Linked DNA regions of Drosophila melanogaster. The protein of the gene in region 1 purifies or fractionates together with the protein of each later gene. This does not show direct contact. Each region holds a gene or a part of one and is shown in the gene's direction. Other genes may lie near its edges. The genes, in order: otk2 and fz2.

Region 1 (4,562 bases):
GATAGATACCTGGCGAAGACTTTCGAGCGAGCTCTTGCCTTTACACAGCCTCACATCATAGTGTTCCTGGGCGATCTGTTGGACGAAGGCAACATTGCCACGGCTCAAGAGTACAAGCAGTACGTTCAGCGGTTCAGACGAATTTATCAGAATAAGAACTACAAAAAAGTAAGGAGTACTGCTTTTGCTTCACCTTAAATTGTTGTTGCACCTATAATTATTTCAATTTAAAGTTTTTCCAAAGCGATTATACAACTTTGCGAATGGGATTGACCCCTTAAAACCTAACAGTTCCGCATGATCTCTGCCTTTTTTCAGCGCGTCCATGTGCCGGGTGACAATGATATTGGCGGCGAGAATGGCGACTACATATCCAACTCGAACCAAAGACGCTTTGAGAACGAATTCATGAGTGAAGACCTCTTTGACTATGACAATCGATTACGCTTCTTCAAGATAAACCGCATGCTATTGGACTTTAGCAACCCGGATAGGGATAACAATGCGGATCGTCTAAGAATTGGCGTATCCCATGCCCCGCTGCTCATTGGCGGAGGACCCCTGTTGAGAGCCATCATCAGCGACTTGGATCCACATATCATTTTCTCAGGACACTGGCATGAATCCAGAATATTTATTTACCCCTCCACCAAGGTGATCAACTTTTATGAAAACTCCGTGAGGCATTTTGACTTGAAGGCCCTCAAAGAGCAGGAGCACAGCTATCTGGAGATAATGGTGCCCACTTGCTCGTATCGCATGGGAAAGTCCAAGATCGGATTGGGCTACGCGGTTTTGGGTAAGTTTGGAAATATCTTTTGTATTGTCCATGGAAGTAATGCCCTGCTTTTGACTACAGAAAACTACAATCTGAGCTACACGGTGCTGTGGCAGCCAAATCGATTTATCCTGCTCTTCACCTATGTTTTTTGGGGACTATTCGTCGTCTGTGGTTTCGTCGTCTTTAAGATGATGACACGTTGTCCCTTCCGCGTGGCCAAAAGGCAGACGCTCTATAACCGCGTCTCGACTATACCGCAATTTTAGACTGCACTTTCCACTCGTCATGGACAATAAGCCCAAGATTCTCAAGAATTGCTCGAATATACAACTCAAAATTGAATTAAAATCGTATTTATAGACAAGTAGCTTATATTCGGATAAAGTTGAGTAGTAGCAATGAAAATTGATATAAAGTGCTAAATTTGTTTTCCAATAAGTGAAAAAATGTAACCAATGTCCTCCATCCATATTCATTAAAAAATTTAATTTAATTTAATTTATTTATTTAATTAGGCCTTAACAGTTCGAAGAAAATCTCATTGGTTTATACTTATAGAGCTGTTAAATTTAATACATAAAATTCGAAAATAAACAAATGTCAATCATCATAAGAAAATACTATTGGTATTCATTTGTATTATAAAAAACGCACTTTTTAACGTTTACTACTTATTTCACCGAAAGCAACCGTAAAATGTAGTAGGTCTTTAAAAAAAAGTAGTACCAGCGAAGTCGCTCTCATCCGACGAGAAATAACGGGAAATACTGGGTGCAGTACAGGGCGCATGTGCGAACCGTGCGCCGGCTGCCAGCGGTAAATTAGCCCGATGCGGCGTCAGTAGAGTTCCGAAACCGAACGCGGAAGGTTGTGCCCTGGTCACGAGATAGCGTTACCATCAGTGGGTCTCCTTGAAACCGAATCGCTCGCAAGATCCCCGGGCTCTGCCTCTGTGGCAGGATAATAAAGCGTGACGCGTGTGCGTAACATAAAAATAACCATAAACCACTCCGGGCGGAGTAAATGAAGTGAGGTGAAGTGAAGCAAGGGGCAAACAGAGTCCGAAACAGCAACTGAAACTGAAACAGAAACCGACGAAGGCAAACGGAATTCCTTCAAAAATCGGCAAATAAACAAGAAGAAAAGAAGAGCACACACCGGTTTTGTGCGAAAGAAGCGAAGGAAGTACGAAGTGAAATCAAAAGAATTCTTTAGCTCGAAATGGGGCTGAACGGAAGACGACGATTGTTGGGCTGCGGCCTGGGATTCTTCTGCCTGATCTTCTGCTCTTACGGTGAGTTAAGTCGGCCGACTGACTCATCTTTTCTTCTCATTCCAATAACTCCTCCACTATCTGCCCCACAGCCGCGCCAGCATCATTTGAGGATGTGAGCATCTCAAGGGGTCCGAAATCCTCGATTACCATCAAGGAACAAAGTTCGTTGCAATTGCCCTGTGACTACCAACTGCCGGATGGGTATCTTCAGAAGAGCAGCGTCATCCTGCGCTGGCGAAAGGATAGCAAAACGTTGCGTCAAGTAGAGCTGGGCAGGATGGACAGCACAACGAGCGAACCACAGCTGGAAACCATGCTGCGGGAGGATTCCCGTGTGGCGCTGAGCAAGGACAGTGGCGCCCTGCAATTCACAAGCGTGCTGGCCAGCGATGCCGGTCAGTATCAGTGCCAGTTGGTCATCGACGACTCCGTGGCTGCCAGCTCCAGCAGTGGGGTGCTCCTGGTTATTGAGCAACTAAAGTTCGTGCCACAGCCAACCTCCAAAAACTTGGAGTTGGGAACTCTTAGTAAGGTCCACTGCAAGGCGCAGGGAACGCCTGCTCCACAAGTCAAATGGATGAGGGTAAGCATTGCATTCTTTTGAATGTTCGAATCAAATTAAAGTTGCATGATGCAACATTTAATACTTACATATAATTCAATCCTTCCAGGAAACCCAGCTACCTCTCCCTGTTAACGTAACCGATCAGAATGGCACGCTGATTTTCAACCAGGTCAGCAACGAGCAACGGGGTCAGTACACCTGCATCGCCTCCAATAGCCAGGGTCAAATCACGGCCACCGTGTCCATCAATGTGGTGGTGGCCCCGAAGTTCAGTGTTCCGCCGGAGGGACCCATCGAGGTCGCAGAAGCCGGAACTGCCGTGATCCACTGCCAGGCAATCGGAGAGCCAAAACCCACCATTCAATGGGACAAGGATCTCACCTACTTGAACGAGAATAACACGGATCCGGAACGCTTTTCCCTAATGGAGAACGGAACTCTGGAGATACGCAATGTTCGGCCAGAGGATGAGGGTCGCTACGGCTGCACCATTGGCAGCAGTGCGGGCTTGAAGCGAGAGGATGTTCTGCTGGTGTTGAAGTCAAGTAAATCCGCGTCCAATTCAATAGTGACCCGGATTATCATTGTGATCATTTGCCTGGCCTTCCTGTACTTTGTGCTGGTGCTTGGCCTAAAGGTGTGGTACCGCTATCGTCGTCACCTGGGCAAGGTGCAGCTGGAAGATGGCCATGTCAATGGGCCCACCGATGGTCAGGAGCACGACCATCACGAAAACGAGCCCTGCCTGACGGAGGCCAACTCCAGCAAGAATCTGAAGAGCAAGCTGAGGGAGAGCACGATACTGGAGCAGGAGTCGCAGGTGGCCGACGATATTGTGTGAGGAGTAGTGCTCCTGCGCCTGTGGAGTAACCTTTCAGCCACTTTCCATGATCTCGCTAAACATGCCCCTCGAAAGTTACTCCGTTCTGTTGTTGAGAATCAAAAAGGAACTTGTGAAATCCCCCAGAAATCTATTTGTATTTATATATTTATCTAGTTTATATATATATAAATATTTTATGTATTTATGCATGTGTGTGTCTCTGTGTATATATCCCATGTACAGTTATTTTTTAGTAGAATAAATATTTTATGGCTCTCATAGAGCCCCATTTTATAGCGCAATCGTTTCAATCTCCTTTTTTTTGCGGCGGACAAGCGTTGTGCGGGGCTCGTAAACTTCCTCCGCTGCTCCATCGTAAATTGGAAGCCCACTTGGCACGGCCGTAAAGCCCATGGAACCCGGATGAGTGTTCTGCCATGGCTTTTTATGCGCTTTTTATGACAGACGGAGAAGTTTGCTGCACATAAAGGCAACCCTCCCTCCCCCCTCCGATAAAAAGTCGTAAAATAGCGCGACATTCCAGCGTTTCTTCTTTCGTTTAATTAAAACAATGAAAGTTTCTTCATAGCAATTATAGTTTATCAACATGTTGAATAGTATATCTTATATTTGTGATAGGAAAAAGGTATCCTTCCAATGCCAAATTACTTAACAATTTGTTTTGGATTCTTTGACTAGCTTGCACCATGATATGCCATCCTTTGAGGCAGTGTCACCCATACCCATCATCTTGTAGGGAATTTCCATCTAAAGCATATCCAGCGACAATTTCCCTTCAATTGCCGGCATCTGCACTTAATCGCTTCATTTCCATGTCCATTTCCATTGGCATATGCTGGCAATCTCCAATTGCCAGTGTGCTTTATGCATATTTTATGGCTTTTTATAGCGCTCGAATAAACAGCGCACACCACACATCAAAGGCGTTATCCAAAGGCAACTACACATGCGCAGGTTACTCCGCCACCAGGCAGCAGATAAAAAAGTAAGCGGCAAGTGCAATTAAACGACTGCGACTACGACCACCCCTGCCTGCATTTCCACCAGCCGCCCATCAAATGGATTGGTATGGTGTGGTATGGTATGGTATGGCATG
Region 2 (4,942 bases), on another chromosome or scaffold:
TAATATAATTTCGCCGAAGTATTCTAGAAAAGCGACCTTTAATAAGCAACCGAAATACTTTGCGATCCTTAACGCTTAAATGGGCGTCCGAAATGAAGTTCGTTTCTGGCATATAGCTGGGTATAAATTTCGAGTTAACTGTAAATCCCTTTGCGTAATACCGTTTATTCTAAAACACAATTTCCAAAATACGATATTAGAGAGTTTTATACAATTTCTTACCAGTGTTAATTACCATTTTCAACGGACATTGTATAGGAAAATTGGCGGTTTCGCGAAGCTGCGTAGTAACCATTCTAAATAAAAAATGATTTTCCACACTTGATAGCATCTGACAATAGTCTACATGTGAAGAGGTAAAATTCGTCACGTATGAACCTCTCTTAAATGTCAAAATGTAAATGCCCTTCAGGTCCTCAACATCTTGGGTTAATATGAACTCTGCGTATATTGAACCAGTGGGGTGGGAAGTTTCATTTAAGTAGCAGCTTACGTTTCTCACCAATTCTGGCATATAATTGAGGCACTCAATTTTCGTCATAAAAACTTCTTTCTATACGTTGAGATAGGTTAATGTAGTAGGACTTACATATATGATTCTATACTACTGACCTCTGCACGAACACTGCTCAAGATTAGGGTCCCCAGAATCAGGTCAACCAATATAAAAAGCTTTTTGACGTTCATACTAGTGGATAACTAATTGAAGACTAAAATCTAATGCATTTCAAACGCACGTAGGTGTGTATATTTTAAAATAAATGGGTTTTTAATGTGCTCAATTAGTGTATTACCTAATTTGTAATTGCTTATTTTTGTTGATAGAACATTAATATCGGTAAATTATTTGGACTTTTCAAGTTGGAGATGCGCAAAGTACTAATAGTATAAAATAATACTATAAAATTATTATATTATAATATATTATAATATTATATTATAATAATTAATACGGATTAGAGTGGGAGATCTGAAACAAATTTGCACGAATATGAAGCATTTAGAATCAGCTTAATAATAGTTTTCTAGTAATAACATATTGAAATAATTTGTATTCTTAAAAAAGAAAAACGGGTTTAAGATGAGTGATGATTTAGCTAGAACTTATACGTTTTCTTTATTTTACTGCGAACGCGATTTTACTGAATATAATTTCTATCAAAGCCCTTGAAGTAATTATCTTGATACCTATTAATTCTTCTTTAAATGGGCTATCCATACTATTACGCATTTATATTTAATTTATTTTTGATTTCTATGACTAATTTCTTGGTTAGATTCAGGACGATTTCATCATATTTTGAATAAGTGGTGCGAAATTACTTTTTTATTGGTCCATTCGACCAGTCTAGCATACAAAATATTTTCGTTAATAACATTGCATAAATTTATAGCTCTAATATATTTTATAATGACTTATTTATTTTGCAGAAACTTGTTTCAAAAAATTAACGTTTGGTGATTCGTTTGGTGATTACGTTACGTGATTCCGGGCAGGCCTTACGTTTCACGTAGCTCTGTTCCGTTTACCAAATCGTTTCGCGAGCTTTTTGGACCGGCGCATTTGTAATTCCATCTCTCTATTTTTCCTCCCCCGCATTTCTTAATCGTTATCGCTCTCTCTCTGCGAATTTTGCAAAACAACGGCCGGCCGTTTGGAAAAGTCGGAAGAAAGTCAGTTGGCAAGTGGAAATCACCGGAAAAACTACACAGCGCGGCAGAAGGAAAAACGTGAAAATCGCAGACGCTTACACCGCAGACGGGAAATAAAAAAAGCCAAAAAGCAGCCGCGAAAGGCAGCGCAGTCGACGTTGGCAGCGCCGAGGGCTGATAACAATAGTTAATAACAATAACAAAGCGGAATAAAAACAAAAGAGAGAAGCACATGAAAAGATAATATGTAAAAACCGAAACAAACAAAAAATCGCGCGTTTAATTAACGGACATACGACGTGAGCAGCGCGGTCGACGCCGCAGTCGCAGTTGGCGTCGCAGTCGCCGTCGCGCATTGGTGTGTGTTTGTGTGAGTGTGCGTGAGTATCTGTGTGAGCTGGAGATATAAAACTGCAATTGATTGCAATTTCGGCGGCATTTGCAAAATAGCAAGCCGGCGAAGAACACAAAACCGAGAAATCGAGAGATCTGCAAATAAAATATACAAACAAATAAAAATATATTAGTAATAAACTTATACAAAAACACAACAAATATAAAATCAGCACAACAAAAACACAGCCAAACGGTAAAGATACGAAAAAGCTAACTCATTTGTGTATCTAAAATAATAACAAAAAGCAATTCGAAAATGAGTACTTCTTGCATTTGTGTGAGCGCAGCTGTTGATGAAAGTGAAGGAAAATCATTCACATTTTCTACGGGAAAATGGGAAAGACAACAACAGCCACACACTCACACAGCTGCAAAAGAAAAGAGAGCACAGAGAGCTAAACTCAGACGACGCCAAGTTCTTTTTTTCCGCTTTTCCGTTGTTTGCATTTTATTTTTGTTTTCTGTTGTGTTTTTCGCACACAGGGAGGAAAACTCAGCCACTTATAAGTTTAAATTTTGAGTGTACACATCTTGTTTCAGTTGTTGTTTGTTTAAGAACATAAACTTTTTATAAATTCAAATGTTAAACGTAGATATTTCGACGTAGCTTTAAAGGACTAAATACTCTTTATATTGCTTTTTTTGCCCAGAATATAAAAGAATATATTTAACTTTACATAAGCTTATATTTCCAACAACGCTAAAAATACACTTTTTAACTTGTTGATTTCTTGACCATTTTTGTTAAAGTTTTTCGGAATTTCACATTTTTTTTATAAATGTAAGTTCGAATATTTATTTCTTTTTCCTTATTACACCTTATTACACTTTATTAAAGTTCATTCAAGTTCATTAACAAAGACAATATTATTTTTAATTAAAGTCTAAATTTGAACGATTTTTTTTGCATTTGTGGAATAATGTTGAAAACAATAAGATTGTTGTAAATAATCAATAAAGAATTGATCCAAGACAGGTCAATTTTTTTCTGTGTACATTTACGAGTCGAGTTCACAAGCCAGACAGCACTGTTGCTTTTGCTGCTGTTTTTGTGAGAGTATCTCATAGCTAGCTACCTAGCTGCAAAAAGTATCTAGATACTTTTGCCGAGTTTCCTACTCTTTTATCCGGCTGTCTGTTTATTGAGACGCGTCTTCAAGTTTTTTCCCCACATCATTGCATTCTTTAATTCCCTACATTTTAAATAGGAGCAGTTTCAGATGTTTCGAAATATTTATAAATATTTTCTTGCACTCGCATGTTGGCCGGCAGTCAAAGTAACACTCAACTTCAACTTCTGTCTGCGCACTCTAATTGAGTTAGTCTGGCATTTCAATGGGAGCAGCAAGCACACGCACCGCTTCTGGTCGAAAGGGGCGGAATGGTATTAGCAAGAAATGGGGGCGGGGCCGGGCTCCAGACTCAGCGGGTGGGAAATCCGGGGGGTGGCTCTTGCAGGGGTCACAGCCTAACCCGTGTGTTAAATTATGCAAAACGCTAAGGGAATGTCGAAGCAATAAGTGCAGAAATGTTTACATTCTCTGGCCAACGAAGAATATTATTCATATTTGCGTTTGGGTTAAATAAATAGGAAATTTGGTCATTTTGGTTAATTATTTTCCTAAATAATAATTAATTTTTGTTTCTTGTTATTTCTAATTATGCAATATTTATTTAGTTCTTTGAAGTAATGATTAAACCCAATCTTAATTTTAATTTCCCTCTACTTCCTTCTGATTGAGTGTATTAAATATTTCACTGAAATATTTTTCTTTTTCATTAATGCAAATGGCTTTTGAACTATTCCACACACCCACTGGTGTCTCATTTATATCTTCGCAAAGCACATTCATAAAAAAGGAACCTACAATTTCGCTCCAAACAACTTTTTTATCATAGCCCGGCTTACACGTACGAACACATATATTTTTGGGTATTTTAAAGGGTTAACACACGCTATACGACTGCCAAACTTTTCCACGTTGGCTTTTTGTGCTGGTCCTTTTATTTTGTGAAAATGTTTGGCATTTTTTGTATTAAATTGTCAGTGAAACGAGCGTTGGACCGTTTCCGAGGGGCATGGCAACAATTCAAAACGTGAACTGCCACTAAAACATGCCAAAAATCTGCGCATTTAAAATATTTGCCCCAGAGCCCATTGAGATCCAGCCAAGCGATGGATGGGCGGCGGAAGGGGAAAAGAGGAAAAATGCAGGCATTTTCCTGCGATTTGATTTAGTTGTTGTTGGCCGGGTTACACCTTTTCACTCACACCTGTCGTCTGTGTTTTTCTATTTTCAATTTTTTTTTCAGCAAACTACACGTCTGCGTTTTGGTTGCCCCCTGCAAGTCCTTTGTTTTCTATTTAATAGCTGTTTTAGCCACTTGCACGTGATCAACAATTAATTGGCAATATCTTTTTCAGGTTCGTCAAATCAAGCGGATCTCTCCAGCCAAAATAATCAGCAATCTGATGTAGCAAACGCCTATATATAGAATATACGAAAATGCAACCATTCCGTTCCGCGCCGTGCTAATGCAAACGTATACGATCCGAAACCGATAAATATAGAAATACAATAAACCCAAGTGAAATAGCAATTTTAAACGCCAATAAAAACAAAATATACCAATTACACTGCCCAAGAGAACATCAAAGGAACTCATTTTGGAGGTGAGTTATAACAACCATTAAACAATTATATGTCTATTATAAGGTATAAAATATGAAATAATAAAAAAGAGATTGCAAAGCTATTTCTTCTAGAAGAACTATAAATATTATTGCATTATAATTACATTCTACTGTAATGTAAAATGTACATGCGAAAACTTGAAAGATGATAATGTTTTTCCACACACACAAGACCGTACTTCTTGTTCCATCAAGTAT

The links.
Region 2: the proteins of otk2 (region 1) and fz2 purify together in Drosophila melanogaster (affinity purification with western blotting, with the first as the bait; one study listed by BioGRID). This does not show direct contact.

Annotation. Positions count from the first base shown.
Region 1 is NT_033778.4:12,022,329-12,026,890, reverse strand, and holds otk2 (off-track2), read left to right. Parts: upstream 1-1,618; 5' UTR 1,619-2,002; coding exon 2,003-2,075; intron 2,076-2,146; coding exon 2,147-2,640; intron 2,641-2,728; coding exon 2,729-3,463; 3' UTR 3,464-3,745; downstream 3,746-4,562. Other genes in the region: Mppe (metallophosphoesterase), read left to right, coding at 1-168, 292-799, 860-1,047.
Region 2 is NT_037436.4:19,232,105-19,237,046, reverse strand, and holds the start of fz2 (frizzled 2), read left to right. Parts: upstream 1-1,673; 5' UTR 1,674-2,033; exon of another isoform or gene 2,034-2,242; intron 2,243-4,474; 5' UTR 4,475-4,723; intron 4,724-4,942. Other genes in the region: CG33647 (uncharacterized protein), read right to left, coding at 1-169, 236-553, 613-687. UniProt on the Drosophila melanogaster protein: Receptor for Wnt proteins.